2 linked regions of the Lonchura striata genome follow. The protein of the gene in region 1 purifies or fractionates together with the protein of each later gene. This does not show direct contact. Links are inferred from orthologs where the notes say so. Each region holds a gene or a part of one and is shown on either strand. Other genes may lie near its edges.

Evidence for each region.
Region 2: the proteins of LZTFL1 (region 1) and BBS7 purify together in Homo sapiens (affinity purification with mass spectrometry; 3 studies listed by BioGRID and IntAct, counting the BioPlex papers as one, with this or other methods). This does not show direct contact. The link is inferred for Lonchura striata from reciprocal best matches to the Homo sapiens genes LZTFL1 and BBS7.

The regions. Positions count from the first base shown.
Region 1 is NC_134603.1:111,322,582-111,332,213, forward strand, and holds the start of LZTFL1 (leucine zipper transcription factor-like protein 1), read left to right. Parts: upstream 1-5,467; 5' UTR 5,468-5,548; coding exon 5,549-5,551; intron 5,552-7,448; coding exon 7,449-7,573; intron 7,574-8,024; coding exon 8,025-8,219; intron 8,220-8,728; coding exon 8,729-8,789; intron 8,790-9,632. UniProt on the Homo sapiens protein: Regulates ciliary localization of the BBSome complex. Together with the BBSome complex, controls SMO ciliary trafficking and contributes to the sonic hedgehog (SHH) pathway regulation. May play a role in neurite outgrowth. May have tumor suppressor function.
Region 2 is NC_134606.1:69,506,951-69,516,946, forward strand, and holds the start of BBS7 (BBSome complex member BBS7), read left to right. Parts: upstream 1-6,004; 5' UTR 6,005-6,079; coding exon 6,080-6,115; intron 6,116-6,268; coding exon 6,269-6,334; intron 6,335-7,528; coding exon 7,529-7,591; intron 7,592-8,395; coding exon 8,396-8,571; intron 8,572-9,139; coding exon 9,140-9,326; intron 9,327-9,986; coding exon 9,987-9,996. Other genes in the region: TRPC3 (short transient receptor potential channel 3), read left to right, coding at 53-248, 1,366-1,575, 2,096-2,179, 2,683-2,758, 5,021-5,163.

The sequences.
Region 1 (9,632 bases):
TAGAAAACATATACTGCAGGGAACACAGGATAAGCTACAAGGAGCAATCCTTCTGGCAAAGGAATGGTTTCTTATTTGTATTAGCCTGTAACTGACAGTATAGTTTACTATAATTTAAAAACAGAAAATTGCATGCAATATTGGCCATTATCTCCTGCAGTAATGAGATATCCCCCAAAAGATTCATGTGAGTGTTTATGGTTCATTCTCATTTCATTCAGGAAAGTGCAGTCTGGCATCACTCTTACTGTTATGGATTATGCATTATAGAGGCGTCTCAGTGATACTAATGGATAATGGTGGTTTATGGCTTCTATGAATAGATTATCAGATGGGGTTTTTTCTGCTTGAAATTCTCTTTCCTGCTAAAGCAATAAAAATGTTGAACTGACAGCATCAGTCTAGTCTAGGAAAATGAACTAGTTGACATAATCTATGTTGTTTTCACAGTTCACACTGTGTGCACTTATGAGAAAGAAAGCAAGTGAGAGCTGCTATGAAACAGCTCTCAGAAAAGTCTCAGAATTTTCCTAAGGGAATTTTCTTTCTCCATGCACAGCTAACAAATAGCAATAAAAACTGAGCCCTACAGTTCTTCTATTGTTCAGAGACTTCACTTCAGAGCCACCAGCTACAATATCATTACCATAGTAATAGTAACTTGTTAGTCATTCTTCCAGTCATAGCAATAAGGCAGAGTTCTCAGCTTATGTGCAGTGAGACTTCTAGAGATGGATACCTTTCCAGTACAATGTCTGGAAGTAACACCAGAGTTAAGCAGTGTCCATGGCAACTGAAAGCTCCCCTCTATTTGTTAGGTATAACCAAGCTTCCTAAAGAACAAAGCTCTGAATTTGTGGAGACAAGCATGTGAATAAAAAATAAGTGTCCTTTACTTTCTGTTGAAGAAAAGCATAGATGAAATCCTGGCATGGATCTGAGGCTTGTGTCTAATTTCTTCTGGATGGCAAGTTCACTTCATATTGGCAGTATGTTTTCCTTGAAGATCTTATCCAAAATGAATGCAGTAATTCCCCCAGAAAGTTAATTTTTTTTTTTTTTTTTGCCATCAACAAGACCAGATATAATTTGAATTGTACATTTAATTGCATTAGGGTGCCATGATGTAGGAGGCAGTGTTCCAAACAGGCTTCCTCATGGAAAATAATGTATTTGATCCTGTGGGAATGATGAGACTGATAGGACTCTCAAGCATGCAAGCAAAAGGGGGGAGCTTGGATTGTTAGGGAAGTTTGCAGACACAAATGTAATGTGTCTTCTCCTGCAGCTTTAAAGAGGCTTAGATTTGGATGGCAGAAACATTGCTCTCAAATCCTGACTGTTCTCCCCACATGGACAGTCTCTTGTCTTGACCACTGTTGACATTTTTACTGCCCCAGGGCCCCCACTCACTTTGGTTGGAAGTGCTTGCAGACCTCTAACTTGCTTCTTCAGGTCAGATGAAACATGTTTGAAGAAGATAACTGGTCAAAATTGTTTCCTTAGAAAATATTGATTGTGAATAGTAAAGCAGAGATCTGTCCCAGTGGGTTGTGGAGGGAGCAGAGACAAGCTTGAGACTCCAAGTGCAGCTGTTAATTATTTGTGAAATAGATACTGCTCTTTGGGGCCCCAAATCCAAATGCTCCCCCTCCAAATACTAGCCATGAAAGGTGATAATTTTATTTGTAATTCTGTGCTATTTTCCTCAGAACCCCATTTCTACCCTGGTGTCCTTTGTGGAAGCTCTGGAGGTTGGCAACAAGCACAAAAATCCTTATCACAACCTAATGCACACTGCAGGTGTGACATGGACACTCTGTTATTGTATTTTCTCCTTTTCAAGATGGACATAGCACTAAGTGCAGGAGACAGCTAAAGCCAGACAACACTGATAGGAACAGACTGAAGGCTTAAACAAAAAGAAATAATGAGCATATGGTACATTCCCACAGTGGTTGTCAAGATAGACAACAAATATCTTTGAAGGTGGGCTAGAGAAAATTAAAACAGACAGATTCCAGAATGATGATCAACCACCACAGTTTGGGTTTGGCTGGCAGCTCAGAAAGTTGCTGGTCCACTCAGTAGGAAGAGTAAATGGTAGTGAAGGCTCAAACTGTCCAGGATACACATGTATCTCATTCTGATCCTTTTCTTACTCCTGGTTATTGCCACAGCCAGAAAAGGAAATAAAATGGTCTTTACTCTGATCCTGTGTGACAGATTTTTGGTGCCTGTTATTAGTTTAATCTTCTCCCAGCGTCTAATTTGCCCTTTTCCTGCATCAGCAGAAGCATAGGGTCAAAGATATCAGTGAAAGGGAGGTTCCCCTGTTCAGTGTTTTGTGCTGTTCTCTTGTTACACCTTGGCCATTCACGGGTTGCTCTTTTTGTGGCTGGTACCTTAAAACATGCACTTCAGTTCTTTTGTGCTTCATTTCACTGGTGTCTCTTTGCTAACAAATACACAGAAGCAGCCAAGGTAAACACTTCCAGGTGCAGGGATCTTTGCAGTACAGAGCAGGCAGATGAACCCATATCAGCAGAAGCTGAGGCTGTTGCTGCAGCTCAACCTTCTTGAACATTCAGTAATTTCATTCATGCATAGTCATTCTAAGCTCTGTAGTGAGCAATTGCTGAAGAAGAGGAATGAGATAAACCCATGGTTGAACGTGTTTTGGCCCAACCAAATGCCAACACTGTTTTGTAGATGGCCTATACAAAAGTTGCCAGTCAACATCACTGGTGACCATGTGTGTCAGTAACGCCTTTCTCTGCACAGCTTGCTGAGGAACCTGAAGAAGTGATGCTGCCACGGTGTATACCGTGTAGTAGAGCAGAGGACAGAGAGGTGCAAGCTCACAAGCCAAAGCTCAGCTCCTGCTAGATCTTTCAGGGCAGTTTAAACTACTGTAGAGCTGCTTATGCTCAGGAACAGCCTTTGTGCATATAGCCTGTCTTTCTGTACTCCCTTGATTGCCACATGGATGTTGTTTTCAATTATGACAGACCTGGATGCCCTTCCCTGAGGGCATGCTCCTCCTGTAAACATGTCCTTAGTCTCCTGTCTTGAATGTAGACTCCACCTATGCCTTGTGTTTACTGAAATTGATTTGGAAGGAGTCAGGCTTTGTCAGTCTCAAGAACTGATCTAGACGATTTTAATGGAATATTGTCACTTGTTCCTGATTGCGTCTGAAGTAAATAGAAATTAGGTTGAATTTGCCACCAATACAGCTGCCTACACAAATTAATCCATTAATCCTAAACTGGTCACTGCTGCTTTTAGGGCCATTAGTTAATGAAAATGCACTGCAGGCCATTTCCAGTAAGACAAGTACAATGCTGAGGAATGGAAATTGCAATGGATCCTATTTTTCACTCTCAAACTGTGGAAGAATGGCAGTTTTCCCTTGGGGCTACTCTGTTCTGGAAAGTGCCTGGATGGAGCAGCTGCCCAAGTGCAGCAGCCCTCCTGCCTGTGTGTGTTCCAAACAGCCTCTTCCCAGCTTGCTGCTTCCTGGTCTGTTAGTAATTTAGCTGTGCAATTCCAGTGCTCTGCTTTCACCACTTGTCTAGATATGGAAGGTGATACTGGCTTTTGAAGTGTCCACTGGTGTCATGGGAGAAGGCTATTACATCCCTTCTTCCTCTTTGAAATGGGACAGATTCAATGATCAACATTTCCTCTGTTTGTGGCTCACTAATATTGCATCTCTGCTGTGACAGATCTCGTCGCTTTCTGCAGGCCTTGAGGACAATTAATGGACAAAATCCATAATTTCAGTGTTTACTTACTTTTACTCCTTTTACTTACACTGAAATTCCCCATTACTTTTGTCCTCTCCTTAGGTGCAATCAGGGTTCAACACAGCTGGGCCACCTACAACGGGTTAGACTTTTCCCATACACTCAGCTGATGGATACCAGGTTATTTTTCTACATTTTGTAAACTTTTTGGGTGACCAGGTGAAAGACTCTGGTGACAGTTATCCCACCTGGAGTACTGCATCCAACTCTGCACTCTCCAGCACAGGAAAGACACAAACCTCTTGGAGTGAGTTCAGAGGAGGACCTCCAAGATGGGAGGGGGCACCTCTCCTATGAAAGACTGAGAGAACTGGGGTTACTCAGCCTGGAGAAGGCTTTGGGGTGCCCTAATTGTGGTCTTGCAGTACCTGAAGGAACCCTTCAAGTTCTTGTAGTGACAGGACAAGGGAGAACGAGTTCAATCTGAAAGAGAGTAGGTTTGGATTAGTTATTAAGAAAATATTCTTCACTGTGAGGATGATGAGGCACTGGAACAGGTTGACCAGAGAAGTTGTGGATGTCCCAATCCTGGGAGTGTTCAAAGCTGGATGGGGCTTTGAGTAACCTGGTCTAGTGAAAGGTGTCCCTGCCCATGCCAGGGGGTGGAACTAGATGATCTTTAAGGTTCCTGTCACCCCAATCCGTTCTATGGTTCTGAGTTGTCCTGCTGACATACTAATTGTGAAAAACGCCAATCACTTGGTTTTTAAAATGTTAAAAGTTTAATAATAATAAAATGGTTATTAAAATAGTAATACAATTAGATTAGTAAAATTTAGAGTTAGGACAATTACAACACAATAAAAAGCAAAGAATTACGGATGTCTGGATGCTCTCCAACACTAAGTCACAAAAAGCATGCCTTGTGAACAAAGGAATAACCTTAAAAGCGATAGCCTATTGCATATTCATACATCTCATACATGATGCATAAATTCCTTGCAAATTAAGAACTTTTCTGGTTTTTGTCAATTCTTTCCCCTTAATCCTGGTAAATTATCAGGTAAATTCCAGTAAATTAATCCTGGTAATCAGGTAAATCCTGGTAAATTCCATAAAGACGAAGAAAAGGTTGAAGAATATTTGTCTTTTCTGATAAGGACGTTGTAACTCTTTATGGGCCCCAAGTCACTGTCATCTCTGTGTGAAGTTTCTTGATAATATCATCTCTTGCTTGAGCTAGTAAAAAAATCCTACACCACAGTTTCTATTTCAACATTATGTTGTAACCTAAAACTATATTTAACACACAACTTAAGAGAATTAATACAACATAACTTTCTAACATTACACATATAATATTCATTGTAACATTTGCGAAAAGCCAATCATAAAATATGTATTTTTCACACTAATGCTTCGTAAAAATCCTTGTTTAGTGAAAAAGCCTTTGGGAAAAAAAATCTTAGGTGGTGTAAATAAACGTGGGATATTTCCCATCGCGCCTAACTGCCCTACCTCTTCAGCAGCTCACTGCTACACAGTACAATTTTCCGAATGGCACCTGAGCAGGTAGAAAACACAAAGGTAAAGGCTTTTTAAAAAAAAAAAAAAAAAAAAAAAAAAAAAAAAAAAAAAAAAGGAGAGAGAAAACATCGGCTTGACCTGGTTCCGCGGCGCACGGGTCACGTGGGCGCGCCGCGGCCAATGGCAGCGCGCCGCGGGCGCTCGCGAGGCTTCGGTCTCCAGGGCAACGCCGGGCCCGCAGCCGTCCGAGCGCCGGCGGAGCGGCCGCCATGGTGAGTAGCGGCCGCCGTGGCGAGTAGCGGCCGCGGCCGCCCGGCACTCCCGCTTCCTCCCGGCACTCCCGCTTCCTCCCGGCACCCCGGCACGGAGCCGCTCCGCTGCGGCGGCCGGCCCGCAGCAGGGCCCGGGCTGCGGCCTGCCCTCATGCGCGAGCCGACACCTGCCTTCCTGAGCATCCCTGCCGTCCCCGCGGAGACTCCCAGGGCTTGGGGGTATTGCGGGATGCAGTGGCCAGGTGGCTGAGTGTCAGCGTGGCTGAGTCGCAGATCACAAGTGGCCTGTGCTTATGTGTTCATTTACTAGTGTACTTTCCTTTCTCTCTATAATGAATAGAAGCTTTTCAACTAAAAAAACCCTTCAGCAACAGCAAAAACATTAATTTAGCTTTCTATATGATCTCTCATCTGCAATATGTGGGATTTTGTGGGCGACATCAGTCTTGCAGCCACACTATGAGAGCTGATTTTATTTAGCGCTGGTGCTTCTTCCTCGGCTGCATTTAGTTTCCAGAGTATTGATTGTTCATCCAGGTATCCCAGGATAGCATTGTCACTGGAGCTTCCCTAAGGACAAGGTGATCAGAGGAACTGTTTTGGCTGAGTTACAACACTGCTGTCTCTCCCCAACATCAGCCAAGCTAACAAAGTACATTGGAGTCAATGAATGGACCTGCCTTTCCATCAGCTCTCCAGGGACTGTGGTGATAAACTCCCACTCCCCTGTTGTGCTTCCTTGTCATTCATGCTGCCTGCATGAGCTGTGTAGTTCCGATGTGATTGCCCATGCCAGTAATTCTTTGAAATAAAGGCACGCATAAAAGGGCTACTTAGCCAGGTCTAAAATTACTTCCTTCTTAATTTCCCTTCGGTTGTTTCTGGGTGTCCTGGTTTAGGGATGTTGAGAAATAAATTCAGATTATCACTCAAGATCTTCTTCAAAAACAGCATGGCCAGCAGGTTGAGGTAAATGATTCCCCACTGTTGTTATGAGACCCCATCTGGAGTGTTGCATACAGTTCTGGTGTTTCCAGCACAGTAAGGCCATGGAGGTGTTGGAGCAAGTCCAGAGGAAGGATATGAAGCTGACAAGAGCACTGGAACACTTCCCCTACAAAAATAGACAAGTTGGGGATGTTTAGCCTAGAGAAGAAAAAGTTGTGGAGAGACCTCATAACAACCTTCCAGAGAGGGACTCTTCATCAGGAACTGCAGCTATAGTTCAGGGCACTAATTGAAAGAGAGTAGATTTAGATTAGATAGACAGAAAAAAATGTTTATTGTGAGGGTGGTGAGGCAACAGGTTGCCCAGGGAAATTATGGATGCTCCATCCCTGGCAGTGTTCAAAGCCAGGTTGGATGGAACTCTGAGTAACCTGGTCTAGTGGGAGGTGTGCCTGCCTGTGGCAGGGAGTTGAAACTAGATAGTCTTTAAGGTCCCTTCCAACACAAACATTCTGTGATTCTGTGAGAAGTCTCAGGAGTTCACATAAAAAGTAACAAACATAGCATACTTTCCTCTGGGTTTTTTGTTAGTACATCTATAGAAGATATATCATTCAGCTACATTATGCATGTGTAATGTAATACCAAGATATATTTATCCAAGAGCTTTGTCTCAGTCCTTCTGCTTCTGATCCTCTGTTTACCTCTGTCTCTGATTTTGTATGACTTTTTTTACGTTACTTGAATCCTTGCTTCCAAGTATTGGAACTTTCTCACCCACTTATGAGAGGTGCACAGGGACTCGATATATGAAAATATGTTTGTTTTTCAACATGCTAGTTAGAACCCTGTGAAAGCAATCACAGAAACTAGTCAGAAGGCAAGTATTCACAGTAGTTATGCTCATTTTTCCTTATGTTTGTCTTTGTGCTTGTATCCTCCTCCACAGGCAGAGCTGGGTGTTAATGAGCACCACCAGAACGAAGTGGTCAGCTACATGCGCTTCGCTCGTTTCAAGCGGGGCATGTGTCTCAAAACAGTGGATTCTTGTTTCCAGGACCTCAAGGACAGCAGGTGCTGTGTGGGGTGGTGCTGAGCAAGAATAAAGCAAAATATGCTAGCAGCAGTGGCAGGTTTGAATACTTTATGGGGCAATTTTTCTCCATTTAGGTTTGTATGTTCTTGTATTTTCCAGAAGTTACAAGTCAAATGCTTTTAAACCCAAGTTTGTCAAATTCTTAGGAATTAACAGAGATATTGACAGCATGACATTGCTGCACGTCTTGCTTCTGATATGTAAATTTGATACAAGGCAGTAGCTGAATTAGTATTTGTGACTTTAATGATTTAAAGAGAAAATTCAAATACAGTAACCAATTAGTAATGTTGTGGTAATCTAACAACGACTGCCAGTGGATGTTTTTATAAAACATTGCATTATACGAGTGGTGCCTGTGTAGTGAGATCTCATAAGGCACAATTGTTACCTTTATCATACTTGACTCATCTTGACCTCTCTGCTTAGACTCGTTGAAGAGACCTTCACAGTTGACGAGGTGACAGACATGCTGGATGGACTGCAGAGTGTTGTACACAGCGAAGTGGAGTCAGAGCTCATAAACACAACTTACACCAACGTTCTACTTCTGCGGCAGCTCTTCTCACAGGCTGAGAAATGGTACCTGAAGTTACAGACTGATGTCTCTGACTTGGAAAATCGGTAACAGCTGTTGGACTATACTTGCAACAATAAGAATACTTCAAAGTGTTGACTATTTGCATTCTTTTCCTAAGCACAGAAACCTATTATTTTACTATTATATCAATGATAGGTTAGCTTCAATGTTTCCATCTGTAAAATAGCAAGATACAAAATAATTTCAAAATTGTGAGCAAGATGTTTTGTTAGTAATATTCTTACTTGAATTAATCATTTAAGAGCAGGTCACTGGACTCAATTAAAAAGCTTTTGTTATCTGGTTAGATTATATTTTAATTAAGGATGCTAAATCTATTGCACTGCATGTATCATGCCATTATGTGACATGATCTGTTGCATTTATATTTCTGTAAGACTTAATTCTGTACTTCTAACAAGAATTTTACATGCAAGAAAAAGCATAGCACCAGCTTGGTAAAATATGTTTCATAGTGTAGCTCTTAGTAAAGAAATGCCTCCTTAAATTTTTCTTTGGTAAATAAATGCCTCTTTATTTTTTTTTTCCCAAGAGAATTATTGGACCAGGTTGCTGAGTTTGAAAAGTCAGAATATACATCTTCAAACAAAAAGGTAGAATTTCATTTTAATCAAATCATAATTAAATGTCCTGTGGAATCATGACAGATGTTTAAAATATTTATTATTGACTCTTTCTGCTTAGGAGAAAACCAAAACCCCACTTTTTTTTTTATAAAACAATCTTTGAAACTCTCCAAAAAGTCATTTTGCATTTTGGCACCAAGGCTCCCTCTGAAGTGCCTTGGCTGTTTCCAAAGAATCTGTTCTGCCCTTCTGAGGTGTGCCTCACACACCTCATCCCAAGGTTAGCCACACCAGGAATATGTGGCAGTGTCTGCTTCTGGGTTCCTTCCTCTGGCACCAGGGCTGAGACTGGGACATTCGCTTGTCCCAGCATGGACCCAAGAGCTGAGAAGATTGCACAGTACAGATATCACTCTAGTTTGTCTTGCTTGAATATAGTTGCAAACCTTATTTGGTTTGTAGCATAAAGGTGTATTTATGTATATTATATTGTGTATATATATATATATGCTAATTTTAGTATCTTAAATGAGAAAATTATTTGGAGCTTTGAAAATACTTTTTACTCTTGCGATCACTCAAATATTATGTTCTTCTTACTCCTTTTTTCTTTTGATTGCTGCAGGATGTCAATCTTCTCTAGAGCCACATTTGCAGTACTTCTTTGTCTCTATGTAGTATTTTTGTTTAACTTAAGCTCAAAGTGAAGTCCATAACTTAGGAGCCAAGAAAAAGAACTTGAAATAAAAGGTTGTTCATTTGCTTTGCAAAGAAAAGCTGAATTGACCATCAGTAGTTATTTTACAGACTAAAGGAGTACTTTTCTTCCCCCTAGAAATATGTGTAATTAAATTTTTTTACCTTTATTAT
Region 2 (9,996 bases), on another chromosome or scaffold:
TATATTTCTTCGTGTAGTTACTAATAATGCCTTCCTCTTTTTTTCCCTACAGAGTGGAAGAAAGTTTCAAGACCTTATTTTGGTCTATATTTGGCTTGTCTGAAGTAACCTCTGTTGTCCTCAAATACGATCACAAGTTCATTGAGAACATTGGTTATGTTCTTTATGGGATATACAATGTCACAATGGTGGTGGTTCTGCTCAACATGTTGATTGCTATGATCAACAGTTCATATCAAGAAATTGAGGTGGGCTCTGTTCTCAAGTTGTTCTTTTCTGTTATTCTGTAAAAAGGGCAGAGTTAATAGGAATTATTTCAGTGGTGTGCAAAAAGTACAAAGAAGAGATTACCACAGGAAAGGATATCACAAAATGTATAAAAGAAGGCTGACTTTATCTAACAACTCAGCCAAGCTGCAGAAACTCAAAGGATCTAAACAGGTTTATCTCGTGCCATGTAAACACAATATTTGGCATCCAACTCCAGTTAAAAAACAAATCAGAAAATGTATAGCATTGAAGATACTTGGGTTTCAAAAATAAATCTCAGGTTACTGAAATGAAAAATGTATTTATAGTGAAATGTATTTATAGTGAAAAATGTGAAGTGTATTTATAGTGCCAGCTTTCCAAACCATGAGTCCGAAGAGTACTACATTCACACAGATGCAGGCACACACCCACACAAACAGGAAGAACAATTATCTGAGACATAGTACACAAATGGATATGTCATTCCCAGTGTTTTCAATGAGTTCTGGAAAGTGTTAGGGAATTGAGCAGGAGAAAACTAGTTACAATCCAGCCTTGGAATACTTCAGTAAGAGTGTATTAGGACAAAATAGGTTTGTCAGTATTGAACACAATTTCTTCAGCACTACAAAGTTTGCATTTTTCATACTCCATTATAGATCAGAGTTGATTGTCCTGGTTATGCAAAAAGCTGTGAGCACAACCATTTTAAGCCATTTTTTGCCTTGAGTCTAATACTTCAACACTTGTGCAAGTACCAAGCCCATGTGACTGCTTTAATAAGAAAAACAAGACTTGAAAATCCCTGAAAGTTCCGCTTTAAATAGCAGGGAGTTTATATGTTGGCTTTCACTTGATGCAAAAATTATGCTTGTTTTTTCATGTGCTTGAACTAAGTATTCTCAATGAAATGTTGCCATAAGAGACAACTGAAATTTGTTTAAAATAGACTAAGTAAAGTGGCTGCATTTTTGCAGAACTGCTGGAAGTCTTACTAGCAAGAAAATAATATTTTATCTAAAACCAGAAAGATATTTCAAAGCAGTTTCATTTGAAAGAAGCTTTGCATTTCATAAAAACCAAGAGCATCATCTGTTTTATTTTGTAACACAGGATGACAGTGATGTAGAGTGGAAGTTTGCTCGTTCTAAACTTTGGCTGTCCTATTTTGATGATGGAAAAACGTTACCTCCACCCTTCAGTCTTGTACCAAGCCCCAAGTCTTTTTTCTATTTCATCATGAGGATCATTAACTTTTCTAAGTGCAGGAGGAGACGGCTACAGAAGGACATTGAAATGGGAATGGGCAACTCCAAATCGAGGGTAGGTTCTGAGATCTTTTCATTGCAGTGAAGAATTCTGTGTCTATTCCAGCAATCTTCTTTTCTTTTTAGCTTTAACTTATAATCCATGCTTCTGATGATAATAGAGTAACTAATAATTTATAGCACTAAATCTCTATTTCAGACTACCTAAACATACTGCATAAAACAAGAAATAGACTTAAATTTTGTTAGAACAACCAAATCTGGGAAAACAGAATTAAACCAAAAATTGATGACTGCTCAAAGATGCAAATAATTCCTGCAAGGAGTTACTTGAATATTGATTAAGGATACTTTGAGTCTATTTTCTCAGAACAGGATGGCTAAAATTATCAGCATTAAAAAAAAAACAAATCCAAAACCAACATATAATTCAAGGCAATCTCATTAAAAAAAAAATACTCTGATATAGTAAAAGATGGAAAGATCCCAAACATTTCTAAAGGAAAATAATAATGGAGCTGAATCCTAACTGTGAATTCCATAATTTATTTTAATTTTGTCTTATTTCTTCCTAGTTAAACCTTTTCACTCAGTCGAATTCCAGAGTTTTTGAATCCCACAGTTTTAACAGCATTCTCAATCAGCCAACACGCTATCAGGTAAGTATATACAGTGATCACTGTCCTGTGTAATAGAACAGTGAGAATGTTCTAGCAGAATTTTGTGTTTCAAGTACATTTTGCCTTCACCAGATAAAGAAAACCTCCTGTAGAAATCAAACTCTTAAGTGCTCCTTGAAAGAAAAGACAGTTATTGTATAAGCCCTTCATATAGTTATTTGAAGCATTTCAAAACGAGCTCATGCAGTACTTAGAATTGGTCTTTGATGTCTCAGTTGGGAAAGTGTGAGGAGCAAACATCTGAAATTGGTGAAGGAGTATCTGAAGTGGGTTTCTGGGCAAGGGATATAAAAGCTGACTAGGTTGGCTGTTCCCTTCCTTTCTCAGCATGCCCCCAGAAAAGCCCATTTGAGGCAAGTACTTCATTCAGAGCTGTTCATTCTTTCTCTTAGGCAGATGTGACAGAGAGAGCTAAGAAAGAAAAATGAACAATGTTTAATTATATTATCTCACCTGATTATATAACTGTTTTAATCTGGCAGCAAATAATGAAGAGACTGATAAAACGTTATGTTCTGAAAGCACAAGTGGACAAAGAAAATGATGAAGTCAATGAAGGTAAGAAAAAGACTGCAATATTCAGAGGCAATTTTTTTTCATGTTGTATTAGGAACCAGTATTACATGATGCATGGGGGTTTTGAGTGAAAAGAGGGATTGTTTCTATTTCACATGCACTGAGGCTCAGATAGTAATGGAAGTATGCCCATGTCATCAAAAAAATGGAAAAGCATGACTAAAGAAGTAGGACTGAGAAATGTTATGGGCCCCATTCTACAGATAGAAAATAAGAGCACAAACATAATGCACAGAGGAAATCTGTGAAGGAGCTATTAACTGTATTCACACTTCCAGAGTGCTAATCAAATCTGCAGGATCTTCCTCTCTGTTTCATTGAACTGAACACACAATTATACACAATTTACCACTTTACACCACGAATTACTGGTCCTGCCTTCCTTCATAAAGCTTCAAGGAATAATCACCTGTGAAGCTGCCCATCATTAAACAAAGCCCCACAGCTGCATGGTGATAAAAAATGTCAAATGTAACCTCTATTTTAGTGGGAGACCTTTTGAGAAACAGTGGATCTGAGCTCCCTGTGAGAGGTACTTGCTCCAGGTGCATGCCCTCACTCACCACTGGGATGAGATTATGGCAAAGGTGGTCCTCCCTCCTTCCAATCTTCCAGGAATGAAACACAAGCCTGCAGTCCAACAAGGAAACTCCTATGCTCTGGGCAGATCCCCAGACAAAAACTCTAGCTAGAATGTTATCAAGCAACAGAGTGATGCAGTGATGGACAGCCTGGGGTCAGAAGATGTTTTACTGGCATGGCAGCATCAGGCAGCTGTGTGCATATAAGGGGCCTAAAAGTGCTGCTCATCTCTCGGCTAAGGCAGCAAAGCTTCTGTTTTGCTCCTTAGTTGCTCTCTGCTTACCTGTAACTCTCTGCAGGGAGAAGCAGGGAACAAAAAAGATTAAATTAAATCCCCCTCAGTGCCTTCAAAAGGCAGCATTGTGCACTGACTGTTACCCTGACATTTCCCCATCCTGTGTGACTATCCAGAGCTGTGATTGTCACTGACAAAAGCAGAAAGGCTCCTAAAAGTGAATCCTCTCAGTGTGCTGCTCTCCTGAATTCCCACTGCTTTCCTCCTGTTCCTGCTCTGTGATGTATGAAATCATCTACCTAGTGACTGATGAAAAGACTGTTCTGCCACCAGCAGTGCCAGCCCTTTCCAGGTCCCTGATGCCACTTTGGTGTTGGCAGAGATGTTTAAATTAGAAAGACAGTGCAGAAGAATCAGGATTTGCTGACATCATGCTTCTGGCTTTGGCACCAAGTTTTATAGAAGAAAGTCCACTTTGATCAGGGCAAGTAACCATTGAGTTTCACTCTTCAGCTGCACAGCCAAGTACTCTGTGTCCTGAGCATCTCATTGGTACCCAAAGCACAGACCCAGCCTCCGAAGACACAGTTCTTGAAATCTGCTATACCCCAAACAGGAAACGTTGGCATGTCTATGTACTACAACTGCTTTAACAAAAGTCTAGAGGTTTTCCCTGTTCTGCATCATTAGGGAATTTAGGTGTCTCTTCATACTCTTCTACTGTATACATGACAAATCATTTCCTGAGGCAGATGCTGTGTAAGAATTCACATCCCTCACACTTGCTGGAAGACCAATATCTGAACATTTTTTAAAGCTTTTGCTCTTGAACTGAATATCCTACAAGGTAAACCATGCTGCTGCTTATTACAAGTCTGGCTTTGACAGCTTTGTTTATATGTGTTTTTTGTATTTGTGTCAAATTATAACATCATGTTAAATTGGTTGACTTTTTCTAATTCCAAGGATGTTGGTAAGGAAGAGGAGAGAGACTCAGAAGCTGTGAGTTTTACTGCCAGCTCTGCCACACCTTTCCTTTGTGATTTTGGCACATCCCTTCAGAAAAAAACCTCTTTTCCTTTTCTCTCTAAAAAGGGGGTACTAATATTTACCAGCTGTTCAGCAGTGTTGGTGTGATTAATTCATTAACCTTTGTACAGCCCTTGGGAATCTTTGGTGTTGTGTATACACGTGGAGCACAATTCGAGTCCCCAATGGACTATTAAAATTCCTTCGGTGCTATTTAGGGCTGGAGACACATCTCACTGAGAATGAAGATGAGGTATATCCTCCTGACCCATCCTGTACCTGCTCTCATGAACATTTTGGGATGATGATCTGAGATAGGCACTGATGTGACTTAACAGAGGAGTATCCAGTGAATGTTAAACTTTGCTAACAAGTGTTTGTTTCCATTATTAATGCAGGTGAATTAAAGGAAATCAAACAGGACATCTCCAGTCTTCGCTATGAACTGTTGGAGGATAAGTCCCAAGCAACAGAAGAGTTGGCAATTTTAATACATAAACTCAGTGAGAAACTAAATCCTAATATGCTGAGATGTGAATGATTCCACAAAGGAAACGTGGCTTCGACTACAGCACAACTATTTATTGGCAATAATATTTCAGTATCTCATACTTGAAAAAAATGTATTGTAGATTTTTAGCACTAAATAACTTTATGTACAGCTTCTCTGGAATTTAGTCTTAGGAACTTTTATTAACTCACCACAAAAAGATTGCTCTCTTCATTTTAATTGTCTAAAAGCAAGAACTACCATAATTTTTTTTTCATTTATGCATTAAAAAGGTATAATGGTATCGATCGCTGATATTTTAACAGGTTTATGGTTACATATGGAGAATTCTTTGCACTAAATTTGCAAGACAAAAAATTAACAGATACAGCGTAATACTCTGTTCCTTGCAGTGTCCAGGTACAAAATAGGATTTTTCATACTACAATAAACCAACTAGACATGAGTGGAGGATTACTTGAAATCTTTGTTCTTTATTAGTAGTATTAGTAACGCGTGTAAGCCCAAAACTCATGGTTATGACCACAAGGAAATGCTGAGAACCAGGTAAGTTGGAATGTAATGTAATGGCAGCAGCGCTATTTAACATGTCTCTGTATACACGTACCCGCACCGAGTAAGGCTTTTTTTTTTAACTCAGACACCGCGCAGGGCAGATATTTTCGGCTTCGTTGTTAAATAAACCACACCTCCCGCCCGGTTCGGCACCGAGCCCGGCATCCCCCTCCGCCCCGTTCCTGCGGGAGCCTCTCCGCGGCGCCCCCGGCTCTGCCCGCCCCTTGCCCCGCCCCGGGGCATTCCAGCCAATCGCAGCGCCCGTCTGGCCGAGGCCCCGCCCCCTCCCGCCCGCCCAGCCAATGGGAGGCGGCCGCCGCGCGGAGGTTGCCGCGGTGACGGGCGGCGGGCGCGCCGTGCCCGCGGGAGGGCCGCGCGTCCCGCGGGAGCGATGGAGCCCAGCCTGGCACGCGTGGATTACCTGCAGGTGGGCACGGCAGCGCTCCGGCAGCCCCCGGCAGCGGGACCAGGCGGCACGGCCCGCCGGGGCAAGGGGCGGCCGTGCGGCGGGGCCTGCGAGCGGCCCGGGGCGCGTCCCGGCGCTGCGGGCCCCGCTCTGGAGCGTCTCTTCCATCCACAGGTGGGAGTCACGGCGCAGAAGACGATGAGGCTGCTGCCCGCCTCCGGGAAGAAGTCCACGCAGAAGGTACCGACCGCCTGGTGCTTCGCTCCTGTCCTGTGCCTCATCCCATCGTTAATCATCCCCAGAGTTTCCTTAGATATAGGACGTCATAGGGAAAGACTGCAAGCCCATTTTGGGGGTTTGGAAAACCTTTTTTGTGGGGAAAAAAAATAGAAAAAAAACCCCTAATTTGTGATTGGAAAACTTCAGAACCGGGAAGGAATTTTTGTAGTTTACAGCGTTGCTGAAACCACAAAGGAGTTCCTCCATATTTCTCTATTCCACTTAAGCCTAGAGGAAATGGCCTGAAGCTGAGACAAGGGAGATTCAGGTTAGATATTTAAAAAATATTTTACTGTTAAGATGGTCAAGCATTGGACTAGGCTGCCCAGGGAGCAGGTGGAGTCACCGTCCCTGGAGGTGTTTAAGAGGTGTCTGGATCTGGCACTGGGTGGGTGCCATGGTTTAGAGGTTATAGTAATAATGACAACTTGATGGTTGAACTTGATGATCTTAAATGTCTTTTCCAACCTTGAGGATTCTATGAAATTTTTTTTTTTTAAGTTCTCCTTAATATAAGTTCAAATTAAGGAAACCTTGTTAGGGAAACTCAATAGAAGTAGCTGATTTTTTTTCAGTAATAAAGTCTTAGTGTGAAAACACAACTTTTCCCAAATACATCTTCACCTCATGGTTGCTGACATTTAAAAGTAGAAACAGGAAAAGGATTGCAAATGCCTGTACTTGAACTGCTGTTCAATATCCTATCTATAGCATTTTATATAGATCTTAGTATACTTCCGTATGTAATTAAGTACTCTAGAACTTTGAGTCCTTAAATAAATGAAAATATCATTAACATTATAATAGAGGACTATTTACGATAGCATGTAGTGACAGGACAAGGGGAAATGGTTTCAAACTCATAAGAGAATAGGTATAGATTAAATAGAAGGAAAAAATTCTTTCCTCTGAGGGTTACCCAGAGAAGCTGTGGCTGCTCTATCCCTGGAAGAGTTCAAAGTCAGGTTGGATGGAACATGAGCAACCTGGGATAGTGGCAGGTGTCCCTGTCCCTGGCAAGGGATTGGAGCTGGGTGATTTTTAAGGTCCCTTCCAACCCAAACCATTCTGTGATTCTGTGAATACAGGAAGAGTATTATTTAAAACCACAGTTGTGTGTGTAATAAAAAATAACAATGTATTACACTTTTGAAGGTGGTTGTTGGAGATCAGGATGGGGTCGTTACGTGCTTTGGCATAAAAAAGGGGGAAGCTGTGGTAAGTGGAAATGTTCCATTTAAATTTTTATTTTTGGAATATTCTTTCCAGTGAACTTTGAAAGTTCATTTTTTATTGATGTGGCAAATAAGATGCCAGTGGAAGGGGTCTAGGTAGAGCTGTGGCCTGATGCCTAACTGTGGTGAGGGCATGCTGATCTCATGCCTGATCAAGCACAGGATTCTCCACAGTTACAGTCAAAAACTAATGTGGAAAAAAAACTTAACTTCTATTAAGTTTGGCTTAAGCCTGAGTACATACACAGTTATTGTAACAAGACAAAAACCTGCAGAGATTTATTAAATCACCTTAAGGATTTGAACAAACTGATTGCTTTTTATGCCCAATGCAATAAAACTTTTTTTTTCCATGGGTTTTCTTCTCCAGGAAGTCCATGGTCAGCTCATAAGTATTCTATAGCAATACAAATAAATCAATGTAGACTTCTGGAATAAGAACGTAACATGTGAGAGGGAGGGAGTGTGTGTGTGTTGTTCTTTAAAATAAAAAAACAAACCACAAACAAAACAGCTGACAGCAGTGCTGAATTTTTCCCATAGATGAATTAATAACAATGAAGTAATGAAATCTTAATTTATTGTGTTTTAAAGCTTTTTGTATGTATTTACTGATAAAATGCTTGATTGCTCTGTGATTCTGAAGATAAATATGCAGATTATTTTTGTCTGTGTACAATCCATTGCATCTTAGTTTTGCCAGAAATTGTAAATTTCCTATCCTTTATGTTAAAAGATTACTGTAAATATGATATTGTGATGATGAAAATTGATTTTCTGTTGACAGCCAGTGTTCAAGACGCTACCAGGACAAAAGATCTCCAGACTGGAGCTGGGAGGAGCTCTTAATACACCACAGGAGAAAATTTTTGTGGCTATAGGATCCGAAGTCAGAGGTTTCACAAAAAGAGGGAAGCAGTTTCTTTCCTTTGAAACTAACCTTACTGAAAGCATCAAAGCTATGTATGTATGATATTTTGCATTTTTTGGCAGTTATAGCAGATTGTTTGTTTATGATTTTATGCATTAATGTTAAGCATATTGTGTAGGTGACACTAAGTGCTAGTCCAGCTTCAGCTTGTGCTGTAACCTGTTGGAGGAATTTGGAATATCACAGAGAAGTCTTGGAAGTGTGGGGGGAATTGGGAGTGGTCTGGACTCATTGCACTCACAGCAGTGCAAAATCTGAGTGAGCAGAGCTGGGGTTATTGATACAGTGCATCCTGTCCACACAGCTCCTGGAGCAAAATCTCTTTTGGATTGCAGTGTAAGATGCTGCCATTGACAAATCAGCATAAAAATTATAGTAATGAAATTTCTATAAAGATATTCTTAAGGATGTACCTGAAGACAAAGTAGAAATGTGAGAGCTGTAGAAACCACATGGTTTTAATATTTGTAAGGAACTCTAAAAGCTGGAACAGCTTGCAGGGCCCCATATTACCTTGGAGCTGTAAGCATAGTAAGGCATAAAAGCATAAAGGACTCCTACTGCAGCAAGAGGCTACAGGAAGTGTTTTCTTCTCCTCAGGTACATTTCAGGAGCAGATCTCTTTCTCTGTGCAAGCTACATCTATAACCATTACTGTGACTGCAAGGACCAGCACTACTTCCTGTCAGGAGATAAAATCAATGATGTTCTCTGCCTTCCTGTAGACAAAGTGAACTGCATCACACCAGTGCTTGCATGTCAGGACAGAGTGCTCAGGGTGTTACAGGTTAAAATGCCCCCTTCTTTATGTTTTATGTATGGTTCTGTGGAATTGGACTAATTAATAAGGGAATACATATCAGCATGGCTTAAACAGGATCAGGATCAGTACACTGTGCCTTACTTGGTAATGCTGCTGCTGGTGCATTCCCTTGCTGCTGTTTTTCGAAAGGAGAATCATCATAAACTTGTAAAAAATGAGGATTAATGAAACCACTATAGACAGGCTTTGGAATTCATAGGTGGAAGTTGATGACAAATTGGTCCCTTCTAACTAAAAGTGCTCATTTAATTTCCTGAAGGCTTTATCACTTTGGGAATTCTTGCTCTCATAAATTACTGTTGCGACAAGTCTTGAGTGATACTAAGGGGTTTAACATATTAAATTGCCAGCTGAGTTCCTGGATCATTTAAAATTATAATAACACGTTTCAGGAGTCCTGTGTTTTATTTGTACAAACTTCACCCTGTTTTTGGCTTAGACATGGTTTTCCCATAGGAGTTTGAATAAGTAAATCTTACATTTTATTATGATCCATAATAATTTTGTCATTGTGGGACTTTGGTTTGGTATGTGGCTGGTGTTTTGGAGGTTTTTGTTGTTGTTTTGGTTGTGAGTGTTGTTTTTTTTAACAAATTCATTTGAGATTGTTCTCTTTGTCTTCAGGGATCTGATT